4 linked regions of the Drosophila melanogaster genome follow. The protein of the gene in region 1 interacts with the protein of each later gene in a pairwise test. Each region holds a gene or a part of one and is shown in the gene's direction. Other genes may lie near its edges. The genes, in order: CG17744, CG6470, CG4882 and Fer3HCH.

Region 1 (3,688 bases):
TCGCAACGTCAGAAAGTTGCGCACTTTTTGTAATTTTATTTTATTTCCGTTTAAATGCGTGCACCGCCCCCTTGGTTACCACTTCTCACTTTTCGGATGAGCTGGGCTGAGGTTTGGTGCGATTTTAAAGCTAAATTATAGCAACATAAATTTTTACGGCCTCTTTTGCCTTTCAAGAGGCGGGATTCTTTTGGAAATACGAAAATAAAGCTGCCCAGGTGCAGGACTTAATTCACTTTACTCTGCACTTGACTCCAAAGCTCCTTTTTTTGACACTCGACGGCCGTTTCGCATTTTATTTGATGCCCATTTTCATTTTTGCGCCGGTTCTTGTTTTGCATATAATCAAAATAAATTACTTTGCACATTTTGCGGCACATAAATTATTTAAGAAACGGTCGCATCAAAGCGCAGAGAGCATATAACGCAAAACTTGTACATACAACATGTACACGCAACCTCGAGCACATATGGTTCTATGGGGCACCTCTGTATTTAATATACTTCAAAAACCTAATTTAAAATATTTTTATGATTAAAAACGAAAATTTTAGCATGACCATGCGGATATTAGCACCTGTTTCATAATAGGCTGAATAACATGAATCCCTATTTATTTTTAAGAATTTCCCAACTTGCTTCTAAGTCGTCGTTTCTTATAAAAGGTTCTATATTTGTGTAACATTATTTTTAATGTGTATATTTAGCAGTGTCCATGTGCAGCGAGCAGAAGTGACTGTCTAAATAGTGGCCGAGAAGTAGAAATGGAAACACAAGCCGAATATGAAAAGGAGCCGGAGCTGGGGATGTGGAAATGGAACTGAGACTGGAAAAGTGGGTGGAAATGGGGTAGCCGGGGGATCAAGGGCCCTGTTAGGGGACCGAAAAACAATGAGACGGCAAATGCCAACCGCATAGTGACAGATTTTTTTTAATTTTGCTAAAAACCTACGACTAATTCTCAAACGAGCTGACACAAATCTCGAAAAGTTTTTGCGCCAACATTTTTGCAGAAGCGTCTGTCTGCTGGTCCCTCAGTCACTTTGTCCTTCCGCCTCTCCGACTGTCACAGTTCCTTTCTGCCCGACTGTTTATCCTGCGGAGCATAAGCTTCATATATATACACACACATACAAATATACAGAACTGAATACATATATACTAGCTGCAGCAGAAGAACTCAGCGGAGAAGCTTTCGGGCTTATAGAAGAGGCAAAATAGGATTTTATACTGAATTGCTCCAGTTAGGATAGTAAATTATTAAAAAAAAAAAGGGATACTCCCTCAGAAAATTGAAGTTTATTTATTTACTTATTATTTATTTACTTAATCACAAGATTAACTCATTTGTTTCTGTGCACAAACAAAATCCCATAACAGAAAAAATGTAAACTATGCCTATGTAGCATATTTTGTCTAATAAATGTGTTAAGATGTTGTTACACTTTGTTTATTTAGGTTTTTGTGACACTTTTCTGCTCAATGAATTTATTTCTATATTTTCACCTTCATATTTATGCTGTTCTGACCCCAAGACCGAATACGAAAAGCAAAAGGGTTAAAATTGCATTTTATTGTGGGTCAAAAGTGCCAACTACAATTAGTTTAAAACGAGAAAACCTGTCAAATAAAAACAAAACCTAAAATGTAACATGCTAAAAAACGAACATATTATGACCAAGTTGAAGATTTTTTTTGTGTTTATGTTCCAGTGTGTTGGTTTATATGTTGATTTAGACAGTTTTATAAACCCAAAAGCAAACAGATAGTGTCAACGTTGCGTATACGCAGCGTAAGCCGTTCTCCCGCGGCAGCTGCAGTTAAGGCAAAATATGCACAATTTTAAATATATGTATATATGTATATAAAGAGGATGTGCATAACTGGTCCTGAAGTGCATGGTGAAAATTCAGGAGGCCAGGCGTTTTCTGAATTCTACTTCAAAACAAAAATTTTGGTGCTAATACAGCAATATTTTTACTCAAACTCGCAGCTTCAACTTGCCACATTATATTTTTTTTCCACCATGGAGTCTGCTAAAGTCCTAAATAAACTATTGAAGGAAGCTCCCAAAGATTCTAAAGGAAGCAAAGAGATTGAAGAGTTACGAAACCTGATCATAGAGCTGATGAAACCACGACTGGGACAACTACTTCAGATACTAAAGACTCGCATGATAGCTTCCACTCGAGATGAGTTTCAAGATGAAAATGAAGACTGGTGGCCAGATTATGAGCTATTATCAGCAGACTGGAGAGCCTTCACAGATATGAATGTAAGCAAGAGTTATTAAAAAAACGAAATAAGAAAAAACTAATAATATATTAATAAATTATACTACAGGGTCTTTTAGTCTGCACTCAGAATGCTTTAAAGGGACTACCGGGTGATCTTAAGGCCATTGGTGAAAAGTTCGATTATGCCTATTCCGTTGCAAAGCCTATAACTGCTCGAAATAAGACCAAAAACTATTTTTTAGTAGTGGAACTTATAGAGGACATGGAGGACTTTGTAACGCACCTCAGCCGCCTGTGTAGCAAGAATCTGGACGAGCGAAGGGACCTATACGATCTGGCTTCGATAACTAAAGATACTGGCGATAGAATCAAGGTGAAAGTCTTCGATGAACGCATCTTTGTGCAATTGCAGTCGCGAATTGCAAGTCTTAGGAACTACATAAGGGACTTCTGTGCCCTTTTCGATGCCCACTTGGAGTCCGAAGAGGAGGATGAATTCGAAACATTAGATATGTTGGCAAAACCCCAAGGACCACTTGCCACGGGAACCAATGCTGATAAGGCCCGGACTTAAGCCAAATCGATCAGGAAGTCATCTCACCGTCTATTCCCATGGCATGGCTTCCAACGGTTTTCATTGTACAATACCCACACTTGGAGCTACAGAACACAGAAACATGACTCCGGCATATGGGCGGTAATAAAGAGTTCGCCTCCAGTGTATTGGAGTATCTGGGAAAGCTTTTTATGCTTCAAAGTCAATATAGTAGTGTGCCATGTACAGAGCGCACAGTTTTAAAACGGTAAGTATGCCTTTCAGTTACGTGGTCGTGTGTGGTGACACACTTGCCCCTCCGCACCATCCACTGAACAGCCCTACGACCCTCCAACAGCCACCCACCCACTGCCCCTTGTCAATGGGCTGTTAGTTGCTCCGAGCACAGACGCCATTCAAGCGGAAATGCAGCACCGAAAGCCGGCTACAAGCTGCACTGAGCGAAATTCGTACAAATATTTGAGTGCTAAATGGTAAATGGTTAATTCGCTGCTTACATTGTAAGTACGACATATAAATTGTCATTGAAAAAGTTAGAAATAGGAATTGTTCAGAAATTTATGAGCTGTCGCTCTTAAGAGTTATATATATATAAGGAAGTATATATAAGGAAGCTAGTATGCGAAGGACTTACATCCAAAGCCATTTACATATTGATAAACCCTTGCTATTTACTGATTTTTATTAAAATCTTGCAAGTTTTAGCTGCCTTTTACTGTGTAAGTTCTATGAACGGGCGCACGGCAACGACCAAAAAAGAGCCAGAACCATAGCCAGAGGCAGAAACCTCCATGTGAAGTGTGTCATCAGTTTAAGGTTTTTGTGGGCAGCACTCGCACACAGACGGCAATCCACTCATACTAACACGCCGAACACGCACACAGATGCACAGGCA
Region 2 (4,698 bases), on another chromosome or scaffold:
TGGTGGTAAGCGTTGTTGCAAATGCCTCATAGCCCAAATCACATGTTGCAGTCGTCAAGTCTTGGATCGGTTGATTGTGGTCTAGCAGGTTTTTGATATAATCGCTATAACCACCATGTGCCTTTTGTACATGCCTCCTGTTTGACCAGTCGCTCTCTTTTCAGTCAGTCAGTCGGTCATAGAGCACTCACTTTGGTGATGCAAATCCAGCTATTAGTCTCATTTAGCTACTTGACTTTAATTAAATCTAAATCTAAAATTATGAAATTAAATCTTTTTTCGATTACTGAACATGCAAGCTTCAACTTCAAATCTGAAAGATATCCTAAGTATCCCAATTGGATTATTTAATACCTGTACAATACTTGTTCTAATTGGACAGCGTCTAGAACATCAAAGAGTACAGGAAAAATCACTTTAAGGTCTTATTAACACAAAAGATTATTGAGTTTTCTAGAAGTCTCCAACTGTTTTCAGCACAGTTTCAAGGAAATCCAGCCAAAGATTTGAAGTGAGCATCAGTAGACTTACATCAGCAAGAGATTAATATAAACAATTGCTTCTATTAGTCACAGCTTCGGACAGCACTGCTAATTTAAGCTACTTTCCAGCCAAATAGTCGGGACAATAGTTTGGCATCACTGTGCACAACACTAACACACACGCACACAGAAGCAGTGCATTTGCCGTTGGCCAGAGCGAGACAACAATAACAACAGAGTGGCACGAATGTGCGAATGCGAATGTAAATGTGAAAGTCTGCGCGCTCCTTTAATTTGCCGTTTTTCCTTTGCACCGCTCTTCCGATGTTACATTCATCTAATTATTACACTGCAAAAACGAAGATTTCGAACAACTCCAAATGCCAGCGCAGCATGTGTGTGTTTTTTGTTATTTCCCTTATTCTCAACTGCATGACGATCTGATGAAATATGTATGCGAGTGGGATTTCGAATTTGATGACGAAAGCAGGGCCGGGAATTACGGCAACAATTGCACTTATTCCATTGTACACACACAAAGGGGGATGACACTGGAAGGCGGACGCGTTGCTGACGGGTGGGGGGGTTGGATGGTGGAAGTGGTAGTGCTGGGTGGAGGGAGGGAGTCGGTTTCCAACTGGAAGTACGACCAAAAACTGACCTTCTCCTTCGACTCCTTCGCTGCTTTCAATTGACGGACGAGATCGCCTTGCACTTTGATTTGCTCCAGAATCTGCTCACGCGTATCACTCATATTCCGTGCTCGATGGCCAAAAATGAAAAACGGCAAACGGTTGACAGTCCACTGCAAAAGGCGGGCGCGCGGCGTTTCAATCGTCTCGAATCGACACGGCGATTTATGCTGTCTTTTCCAGCTTTCAGCTGCTTTTTCTGCGCTGCTGGCCAAAAAAAAAATTCGCACGCGGTGGTCAATGTGACCGTTCGTCGCGTGGTGGGAAAACGTGCGCTAGTGCGAACTCAAACCGTGGTTGATAACTGGGCTGGCGGACATGTAAAGTGTATAATTTATAATTTATTAACAACAATCAACACACGAATGCTGGCCACTGTTAGTAATATTAACTGCACTACAATTTATTAGCTAATTTTATCGTTTTTTTTTTTTTTTAAATAAAAATGTTCATGTCACTTGATTGCGTAAAGTTGATCTTGTTTGTTTTTTGTTTTAAACAAGTTCAAATAAGTTAAAATAAGTTGATTCGATTACAGCACAAACTTATCTATCCTAAAATCATTAAATAGAATATTTTTTGTCAAAACTACATATATTACAAATCATCAATTAAAAAAAATATATTTTTTTTTAAATAGCAAATCCTGAAATATTTTAAGAAGCGTTTTTTGTTTAAATTGTTGTTTATTGTTAAATTGTTTAAAAATCGAAAAATTCGAAATGAAATATAAGATTGGAAAAATGTTTTTTACTTCAACATTTAAAATTTCCCTGCCCAGCAGGCGATGTGCTTAGTTTCATTGGTATATATTTAAGCATCACCCTTAGATTCAGTATTCCTTCGACACCGACTGACTACAAACTGAAATTAAAAAAATAGCATTGAAAATTAATAAGACACGCTACACATACACAAACACACACGCACACCACACACGAGATGAACAAGCCGCAAAAGCCCATCAAGGTGAAGCGCGCCAAGCGGACCGGATGCTCCAGGATTCAGCCGCAGGAATTCGTGGAGGCTCAGGTGGAGAACGCGCGCAGGGCGGTGGAGCGCAAGCTGATCTACCTGTCCGAGTCGAACAGAGCCAGTGCATCCACTCGGGCGGCCAAGCGAAGCACGGCTGGCGCAGGCGGAGGAGCAGGGCGGGAAGGATCGAGCATGGCTGGCCATGCCCATGGTGAGCGTCGCAGGCGCAGCAAGAGGAGTCTGCTACACGCTCCAGCTCAGGAAGAGACCGACGAGGAGGAGAGTTCGCCGCTGGAGAAGACGAACAACTACGATAACAGAAGACGCAGCAGTTGCAATCGTAAGTTACAAATACATTTGCATATCGTCGATTTGGGATGCACCTTTCTATATGATCTTGGGTATTATTCAAGCTAGAGACACCAAATTTGGTATACAATACGTTATTGGTTATTAGAACTCTTTAAAATCTTGAAACAGCAGTATATATTTATCATCATTACATATATCATCTACTTAAGACCCTTCTTTCTATATGATCTTGGTGCTTAGTTAGGCAAGAGACACCAAATTTGGTGTACAGTACTTTATTGGTTTATTATACTCATATAAATCACGAAACATAAGTTTCAAGTGCAATTTATTTTAAAACAACGATTACAATTGTAGGTTATTAAATATAATCGATTTGGACACCTGTTATCTATATGATCTTGGGCCTTATTAAAGCTACTAACACCAAATTTGGTATATAGTACTTAACTGATTAATATAGTATATTAAAAGTGATATTAATTTAAGATCTCATATTGAGTTAACCAATTCTCCATTCTCCATTCTCCAACAGTATTGCTATCTCCTCGTCGCAATGGCCTCACGCCCCGGAACTACGAGGCCGAGGCCGAGGCAGCGGAAATGGAAGCCATTATGGCCGCACAGCAAGCCTCCAACGGAACGACGAAGCCCGATCATGATGAAGGAGATGGCGGGGAGTATCAGGGCGGACCGTTTGGCCGACTGCAGCTGAAGCCGCTGGGCAGCTATGCCACGGACCAGCAGCTGCCCAGCTACTCGTGCGGCGTGTGCGGTGCCAAGTTTCACATCCGATCGCTGCTGGGCGCCCACCGGCACACCCACGACGATGACTTCAAGGTGCGCTTCCGTGCACGGCGACCGCGGGAGAGCAGAACCACCCTGACCACCGTCCATTTGTGCAAGTACTGCGATCGCTCCTTCGACCTGGAACGCACGCTGCACATCCATCTGCTGAGCTACTGCAAGAAGATACCGCCGCAGCAGCGCCGCAAGCTGGCCTTCACGGAACTGGCGCACGAGAAGAAGGCGCCGTTGCCCAACTTTCAGCGGGCGCAGCAGCCGGTTCACCACCAGGGAAACAGTGCCACCAACCAGCAGGATCAGATGACCCAGCAGGAAAAACTTCAGAAGATTATCATGCGCGAGTCGGCAGTGCACGAGCGCTGGCGCTAGTCGTCCTCATTACCAATCTTCACCAGAAACTGGATGCAGAACCAACGCTTGCTTCCAAACACCAGAAGAATCCATTGAAACGAAAGGAAAATTGTCAAGTGCAGGGCGTATGCAGCTCAACTGTATTTGATTTGTTTACCAGGATCATCAAAATTTGTGGAATTGAAGGCAAAATTATTAGAAGTATGAATTGAGCACAATGACACGATTAGTGGGAGACTCACCTGTTCTGAAGACCGAAACACACACTGGCGTTGAATAGTCACATTCCACAAACGACGGTCAATTAAAACTAAATTAAGAGTCCCCAGCACGTTGATGCAAATGTATTGAATATAATTAAATATTTGAACTAAACAGAAGATTTACTTGCAATGAATTGTCATTTCTTAGATACTTGGCGGAAAGGTAAAAGAATCATAATCCATTGAGGCTTTAAAAGCATAATAAGATACTAAAATGGGTATATATATTTTTAAATTTATCGAAAAAATCGATGAGAAATCGCTTCCTCTCTAGTCCACTATCTAATATGTAAAGAAGAATGATATCGATGTATTACAGAAGCGCTTCGATACCCAGCTCGAGCAATCGATACGATAGCTGTGCATCGATACATTCGCTCAATGAAGCTGACTGCACGCACGTCCGTTGCGTCACCGGCGCTACCTTGCCTTACCGTTTACCGTTCACCGTTCACCGTTCCGTTCCGTGCCGAGCTTTGGCGGTCAAGCTCAAAGTTTCTGTGCGCTATCTCTTTCGCGCTTGCGGCGGCGGCGGTGGCGTTGGCGGTAGTGGGTCGTGTGCAGGGAATACAAGATAGGCGATGAGCGGCAACTCGGGCGGATCGAAGCCATCAGTCGATCGCAACAGGTGCTGGTGGTCACAGGCGGGAGCTGCCGGAATCGAACGGAATCTTGTTGGGACTGTCTGTCGTCGGTGGCCTTTGGAGAACATAGAAGAGCACATCTGTCCGCTGTTGTTCATATATAATTTTTTCCGTGCTTTTCGCGACTCTTTGTTTTTTCTGTGTGTTTCTGTGCCTCTGTGCGTTTCCGTGG
Region 3 (4,688 bases), on another chromosome or scaffold:
GTTGCCCGATAAGCCAATTTAATCTTCTGAGTGTTGCTTTTTGAGGCCTGTGAAAATTGGTGCACTCAAAGAAAAGTTCGCTTAAAGATGGAGCTTGGAAAATATTCAGATTTTGAAGAAATATTCATTGAAAAGAAGATTTCTGAGTGAAGATTAGATCAGAGCCAACAGACAGCGATGCAATCAATGAAATTAAAACCAAAACCAATTCTTTAGACATGCTGTGACAAGTCAATTGGGGAAATGCGGTGAATTTTCGCGCAGTGCACGACACGCGCCGGAAAGTCAGATTTCCACCCCTATGTCGAGTGGAGCTCGTTAGGACCGCCTCCAAACGCGGAAACGAATGAAATTTTCCGTCCCGCTCTCCCGAGACAAGTGCAGCATCCTTGTTCGTCCAACGTGGATGTCCTGTAGTTGATACAATCGTAATCGAAGCTTATTTATTCAAGGGCAGTTAAAAGTGTGTGCGGCCGCGGAGCTACTATAACTATGTGTTTTATGGCCGAATGACTCATTAGCGGGCTGTAAAATTTCAATCGAGTGCCGTGTGTGAATTTACCTGCAGATGCGATGGAATTTTCACTGCTCAACAAGGCGAACTTCGACAAGGATTGTTTGTACACCGCGAACTCGGAGTTCTACAACAGCGGCGCCAATGGAGGAGGACTCTCCGTGGCCAATCACATAAATCACTACAACCTCATGATTGACTCCAGTTACAAGCTCTGCGCCAACGAGTCCGCAATCCGGGGTTCCCTCAACCAGGAGTCGAGCTTATTGTTCTCCAAAATCACCACTGTCTCCGAGTTTTACCCGGCCACCCATAACATTGGCTCCTACAACACGGGTAAGTACAGTGGCCATCAGTTCCACCTGCAGCCAGTGCACCTGGATGGATCGATTATGGATTGTAATCTTGAACCAACTCTCACCTCGCCATAGACTTCCATTTGAAGTCCTATGGAGACGACGGCTTGAGCCTGACCGACAAATCAAAACAGAGGCGCATTCGCACCACTTTCACGTCCAACCAGCTGAACGAGCTGGAGAAGATCTTCCTGGAAACCCACTACCCAGATATCTACACCAGGGAAGAGATCGCATCCAAGCTGCACTTGACGGAAGCTCGAGTTCAGGTGAGGAAAACTAATGAGATTGAATTGCTGGTTAAGTGAGTGGGTAGTTTAGGATACACATATTTCAATAATTAACATATAACAAATAATACTTACATAATATAATATAACTATTGAAAAGAACTCGATCTGCTGTTGATAGGTTCAAATATTATAGGTTTCTCGAAGCCAGCTTACAATCGAAACGAATTTAGTCATATCCTGTTGAAGGATACAAAACGACTTAGTAATCGAAATTAAAAAAAAAAAAAACCATTGTGTGTTTTAGGTCTGGTTCCAGAACAGAAGAGCCAAGTTTCGCAAGCAGGAGAGGCATGCCATTTACATAATGAAGGACAAGTCGAGCAAATTGGATGGCCGGAAGAATCCTGTAGCAGGATCGAAATACCTGGGCCCATCTCTCAAGGGACCCCAGAATGGCCATGGCCGTCAAATGAAATGCTTATACGATCAAATATAGAATCCACTAATATCTATGTAAATATTAGTATACATTTTGATGAATGCAGTTATTTTGATATTATTTTTACTGACTATTTGGAGCGAATTGCGTTAAATAAATAAGATCTGTGTAACACTTTGCTTGTTTTCATATCATCCGGGACAACTGGCTTAGCACCCTTTTGAGGGCTCAGCCGGCTAAGCCTGTGGGAAGAAAAACAAGGACTTGAATGGGGGTTGAAGGGTCACCATCTACAAGTACCAAACCTCACGCCCTTCAGGGGTAAATTGTCATCCCATTATCGGGTGGAAAAAGTGGATTGGATCGGCATTAGGGCGTGTAATCAGTTGATGGTGGCGATTCGGTGCGCTCAATATAGCAATTGTTGTGGAGTGCCCACCGCAGGGATTGGCGGTGAATACCTTTCAGATCTAATTAACAAGATCAAGATTGAATTGCAGTTTATTGAAATCATATGTGCCCAGATGTATAACTTAATATTGCAATTTATAAGTAGTGCCCGCCTTTCAACACCCTCGAATGATTTTAATAAACTGTGAAATCGTTGTTCATTTTACATTTTTCTACACTTCATTAGTGAAACGTATATACAGATATTAAATATATACATAAATATACAAATATCATTTAGCCTTTTAACTATATATAAAACGTACTCTTCCGTTTTTTAAATAGTTTTGTTGCAATTTGATTTGATTATTTTATGTGTTTTTTCATTTAGAATAAAAGAATTCAAATTAATTATTTTATTCAAATATTCCAAGGACATTTTCAATTCCATCGTTCCCGGAAAAAGCAACATATTATAAGTCGAAATACCCTCAATGCTTTCGAATACGAAAATACCGCTATCTGCGGTATTAACTGGCGAACGCGCTAGGGATTTTGTTGCTCTTTTGGCCAGCTGCATGTTATTTGTTAATCGGCTGGTTATAACACTTTATGAATTAAAAAAGACAATTGACAATGCTGCGATCGAGGATTTCCTGCGCACTGCCACCCAGGAGACTGGTGTCCTACTTCTCGGCGGAATTCAACAAGGTGGCGCACGAGGGACCGGCTAAATTCGCCGCAGGCAGCAGTCATGCCGTAACGAGTGTGGATTTGGATGTGTTCGTCAATCCGGATAACCGTCCCATGGACCTGGTGGACCGGCTGCTCAAGCTCAGGTGGGTGCGGCCATATTGGAAGTAGTGTCCCTACTCATAAGATAACTCTTGCAGGAAACAGAAGGAGGCCAGTTTGGTGCCGCTGATTCCCAGTGTCTTGGTCAAGCAATTGCTGGACTCCACCAATCCGCAGGAGACGATATCGGTGCTCCGTAATCCCATCCAGTACGGGCTCTTTGTGGACCAGTTCTCTGGCTGCTTCCTGTTGGACTTCCTGCTGCACAATGGCCACGCGGTGGAATCTGCCCAGCTGGCCACTATTCTCGTGGACAGAAACTTATGCAACAACGAGTTGCTGGAGTCCCTGGCCCTACAGTCCTTCTGGTCCTTCGCCAAGGAGTTCAAGCCCTTCGAGTCCTCTCAAGTTCAACCTCCTGCCAAAAATGTTGAAGTGGTAAGATGATTTTCGATAGTGGCTGAATTATCAGCTAAGCGGCTGGAAACTTTATTCACTCATAAATAGCTATTTAAGATTTTGTTCATTTTGGCATTTTACCAAGTTTACTAATCATACCTGAATTTGCTAGGAAAAAGTTCGCGTGAAGTTCATTCGCAATTACCCCGACGACGCCAGCGAAAATACCGAAGAGAAGAAACTGGGTCGCGCCATGGTTCGATTGGGCTCCGGCGAAGGGTCCTTGAAAGAGCTGAAGCAGAACGTTGCCCTACTTGGCTATGTCCTAACCGGACAAGTGCCCGAGGCCTCCAGCTTTCTGGCCTCGAACTCAGCTGCCCTGCACAAGGAGACTCTTTTAGCCGCACAGAGCATAGTTGAAAGCCTCAAGCTGGAGGGATCCGAAGAGCTGCTGAAGTCCCTGCAGGAAGCCGTTGAGAAGAGTAGCAAATCGAATGCCATTCAATCGCTACTGGAGAACAGCGTCAAAGCCAATGTGCAGAAGTTTGAGCCCAAACTGCTGGCCGACTACGGCGAGTCGTATCAGGAGTGGGCCAAGAAGTTTGAGGCAGCGGTGCAGCGACAACTGGATTCGCAGAGCGTGGAGGAGCGTAAGGCCACCATCCAGAAGACCCTCAGCGAACTGGAGGCGAAGCGGCAGAACCTGTGGTTCTTCGAGAACCGGGACGACATCGACATCCAGATCTACAAGAAGAAGGTCTACTATCCCAAGCGCTGGTTCGGCAAAAAGAAGAAGCCCAAGGCAGCAGACACCTTCTATGTGCCGCCGACTATCACGCACAACGGCTAGTGGACAACCCGTGGACCCACGACAACTCCTGGCCACAAACAAGTTAGATCCAATTGTTTTTAAGCTTTAATTAAACTACTGGAGAGTTAATCCAAATTCAAATGTTGTTTCTTTTCTCGAACGTTAAATTGTTTAAAATTACCATAACGTAACATTGAGGGTCACAGTTATATTCATTCCATCTCAGTTTACAACATTTTTTTTATACTTTTTCTTTGGAGTTTCCATAAATTTTTGCATCCTTAAAAGCTAATCGTCTGTCATTTGTGCATGGCCGAGGGCAGAGCAGTTTTTAAAACCCGCTGCCCGGGTGCTGAAGGGGATAGATTGATGGGCGAGGGCATGTCGTGCCTCTTGTCCTGTATGGTCAGGGGCAAGAACTGCTGCTGCTTCTTTTTCCGGTTCATGTTCATGGGATGGGTGTTGTCGTTCTTGCCGAACAGAATGGTCAGGTGGACAGCACAGAAGATTCCCAGGCTCTGTGCGAATTGGTTTTCAATTTATTATTGGTCAACTAACTGAGAGTTGAGAGAGAATCCATTGGGGGGGACTCACCTGGAATATGGCTATGATGGCAGCTCCGAAGGCGGTGATCAGCAGGCGGTTCCTGATCTGCTCCGATACGACGGCCAGGCATCCGCGCTTGTAGTGGGTATCACATGCTGACTCGTAGGCGTGCTCCGGGCGCGAGCAGCAGGACCAGGGCAGCGAA
Region 4 (3,067 bases), on another chromosome or scaffold:
GAATATTTTTTTAATATATAGTTTAATTTTTGGAACAAGTTTGTATGCTCTTTGAAAGAGTATCATGCCGACAATAGCTCAAATCGATTAAATATTTTCGTATGCCGTACGCTATTTTCGACCTCATGTTCAGCAAATTATGTTGGATTTTGTTTTTTTTTTTTTACCTCATATGCTGACGTTTGAGTTTTGTGTTAACACGTCGAATGTATATAAAAATTTTTTTGTGACTCCGCAGCTTAATTTAATGTTAATAATTTGTTGCACGTTTTTATGACACTGCAAACTGGATTGTTGCCATTATTTTGGAGGTGATGTAAATGTGTCGCTGAAGCTGTCACACTTGTCCAAATTAAAATCTTGTTGGCATTACGGGAGTGGAATTTGAAATTTAACTGAGTTCCGATGTGGATTTTGTTGAAATTCAATATGCTTAAGTAATTATAGAACTTTAATGCCTGTAAAATCTTCTACAAAATTCTAGAAATTTTTCTGTGTTCAAAAGCCTTTCCATTTGACCCTTAAATATTGAATAAGATAATAATTTTCATTTTTATTGCGACTGTTGCATAATGAACTAAACATGTTAATTGCCTCTATAAACACACAAGATCATATGTCATCGTTCACTTAATAAGTGTATATATTATTTAATCACAATCATAGGGAAAATTGTTTCATAATGCTTGAAAAAAAAAAACGTAAAGACTCATCTAAAAATGTTTGCTATTTTTTATTTGGGTTGTTATTGTCCAGTTCAACGATGATTTGCATAACTCCTATGTGTTTTTTTTCTCGGTTCGTTTTCCTGTGTGTCGGTGAAAATGAACCATTTATATCTTTATTATTGCCTTTTTATGGGGCGCACATGGCTTCAAGAGTCACCATTGCTTTGTTGGTTTTTTAAATGTGCGTAATGAGTGGATGTTTGTAGTAAAGTGCGAGTAGTTTTGACCACCTGGATGTTTATAGGAAATGTTTGGAAACCTCGGCTTGGGAGATCTTTACATTTTCAATACCCTAAACCTGTAAGACGCGTTGAACTCGCCTACGAAAGCATTTCATTTGAAATACAAAATATAATATTATGTTTTCTATCCTTTAATAAATTAAATTTCTTATTTTAACTTGCATTGGCTGTCGCAATTTTCTGTATCAGCAATATTTTGGGAAAAGCGTTCAAATACCCTATGAGAAAGGGTATAACACGATTATACAAAACTCGGACAAAAGTCGTCTTCCATTCACTTAATAAAAGACAATAACTGCGTTTACTTAGTGTGTCCGTGTTCGTGTGTACTTGTTGAAGTTAAAGCAAACATATCTGGACACAGATATTTAACTATATATGTACATATATACATATGTATCTGTATCTATAAGCTATACGTACGAACGTATATAGATGCGAACAAACCGAGTGAGAGATTGTGTACACACTATTGCTAAGTGGAAGTTAAGTGAAATCAGAGCCGGCAGCACTTTGAACTCCAACCCGTTGTTTTTTGGCCGTCCGAACGGTGGATCAACACCTCCTCCAGATCGCGAGATCGGAGATCGATGCGGAGATGTGAAGATCTGGATATTTGGAGATGAGATCAATGGACGAACTTAGATGGATCGTATCCGATCCATCGACACCTGTCCGAACCGACCCAGTTGCCTTTTAGACACACTGTTTGTGTTTTGACTTTCAATTCCAAATTGTATAGGTTTCTAAATTTTCAAAAACAAAAAAAAAAAAAAAAGATAGAAAAAAACTCAAAAAGAAGCAAAAGACATGGCGTGGTGCTTCCGCGACATTCGGCGCCACATGTGCATGCTGGTGCGTCAGAACTTCGCCAAAAGTTGCGAGAAGAAGCTAAACGATCAGATCAACATGGAGTTGAAGGCATCCCACCAGTATCTGGCCATGGTAAGGTTCCGCAGTCAATAGGGAATATATATATATGCATATAGTACGTTCAATACACGTAGGCCTACCATTTCGATCGCTCCGATATCAGTTCACCCGGAATGCATCGATTCTTCCTAAAGGCGAGCGTCGAGGAGCGGGAGCACGCGGAGAAGATCATGACGTACATGAACAAGCGTGGTGGTCTAATCATTTTGAGCAGTGTACCACAGCCGTTGCCCTGTTTCGCCAGCACCTTGGATGCACTAAAGCACGCAATGAAAATGGAACTGGAGGTCAATAAGCATCTGCTCGATTTGCACGCCCTGGCTGGCAAGGAAGCGGATCCGAATCTCTGCGATTTCATCGAGGCCAATTTCCTGCAGGAGCAAGTGGATGGCCAGAAGATTCTGGCCGACTATATTAGCCAATTGGAGAAGGCACAAAACCAGGTGGGCGAATTCCTGTTCGACAAGTATATGGGCAGCGGCATGCATCCTGCGAAATGAATACCTCAAAATGGACAACCATCCGATGAAGAATACGTATTATAATTGGCAAACCCATGTGTGTTCAGTAAAGATTCGTTTTTTGGCCGATCAATTGTTTTTTTTTTTTTTTTTTTGCTGCCACATTATCAAGTGGCTGGCGTAAAACTAACTCTATAAATATACTCGCTTATCGGCTCCAAGAGTTGCGCAAGATTCTAATTGAAATCGACACCGAAACTGAGTCCAAAAACAAAGCTTCACGAAATCAACAGCTAAACCCATCTGATAACCCTTTAGTTGGACCACAGTGTTGATGGTATTGGATAGTAACTCATCTGCTTTATCCAGTTCTGTAAATACGTTTCTAATCAAATGACACAATATTTCTGTTATATATATGATAACAGTTGATAATCTCGAATCTATAAAGATAAAAGTTAAAAGAAGCCTGACATTTAACTACGCTTGTTCTACCCATTATATAATAAAACACTTGGAACTTGATGATGAAGCAGTTGGTCTATATGATAAGCATTTGTGACGTATTAATAGGTTATCTATATCTATATAGATTGAGATCGTGAAAGTCGGCAAGACACGACAAATATAGTAACTCATTCATTTAGTTACATAGAATATAATATGAAATAAGTACAGAATTGCGAAACTTCGTTCTAAATCA

The links.
Region 2: the proteins of CG17744 (region 1) and CG6470 interact in a two-hybrid assay, tested with the Drosophila melanogaster proteins (one large-scale study listed by BioGRID).
Region 3: the proteins of CG17744 (region 1) and CG4882 interact in a two-hybrid assay, tested with the Drosophila melanogaster proteins (one large-scale study listed by BioGRID).
Region 4: the proteins of CG17744 (region 1) and Fer3HCH interact in a two-hybrid assay, tested with the Drosophila melanogaster proteins (one large-scale study listed by BioGRID).

The regions. Positions count from the first base shown.
Region 1 is NT_037436.4:7,025,087-7,028,774, reverse strand, and holds CG17744 (uncharacterized protein), read left to right. Parts: upstream 1-1,980; 5' UTR 1,981-2,026; coding exon 2,027-2,275; intron 2,276-2,343; coding exon 2,344-2,811; 3' UTR 2,812-2,974; downstream 2,975-3,688.
Region 2 is NC_004354.4:18,512,128-18,516,825, reverse strand, and holds CG6470 (uncharacterized protein), read left to right. Parts: upstream 1-1,958; 5' UTR 1,959-2,116; coding exon 2,117-2,489; intron 2,490-2,996; coding exon 2,997-3,637; 3' UTR 3,638-3,997; downstream 3,998-4,698. Other genes in the region: HisRS (Histidyl-tRNA synthetase), read right to left, coding at 1,144-1,236.
Region 3 is NT_033778.4:23,880,198-23,884,885, reverse strand, and holds CG4882 (uncharacterized protein), read left to right. Parts: upstream 1-1,958; 5' UTR 1,959-2,068; intron 2,069-2,366; 5' UTR 2,367-2,568; coding exon 2,569-2,771; intron 2,772-2,825; coding exon 2,826-3,165; intron 3,166-3,298; coding exon 3,299-3,976; 3' UTR 3,977-4,069; downstream 4,070-4,688. Other genes in the region: PHDP (putative homeodomain protein), read left to right, coding at 574-850, 946-1,139, 1,408-1,599; TM4SF (transmembrane 4 superfamily), read right to left, coding at 4,237-4,455, 4,532-4,688.
Region 4 is NC_004354.4:13,106,810-13,109,876, reverse strand, and holds Fer3HCH (ferritin 3 heavy chain homologue), read left to right. Parts: upstream 1-1,682; 5' UTR 1,683-1,780; coding exon 1,781-1,915; intron 1,916-1,977; coding exon 1,978-2,403; 3' UTR 2,404-2,495; downstream 2,496-3,067.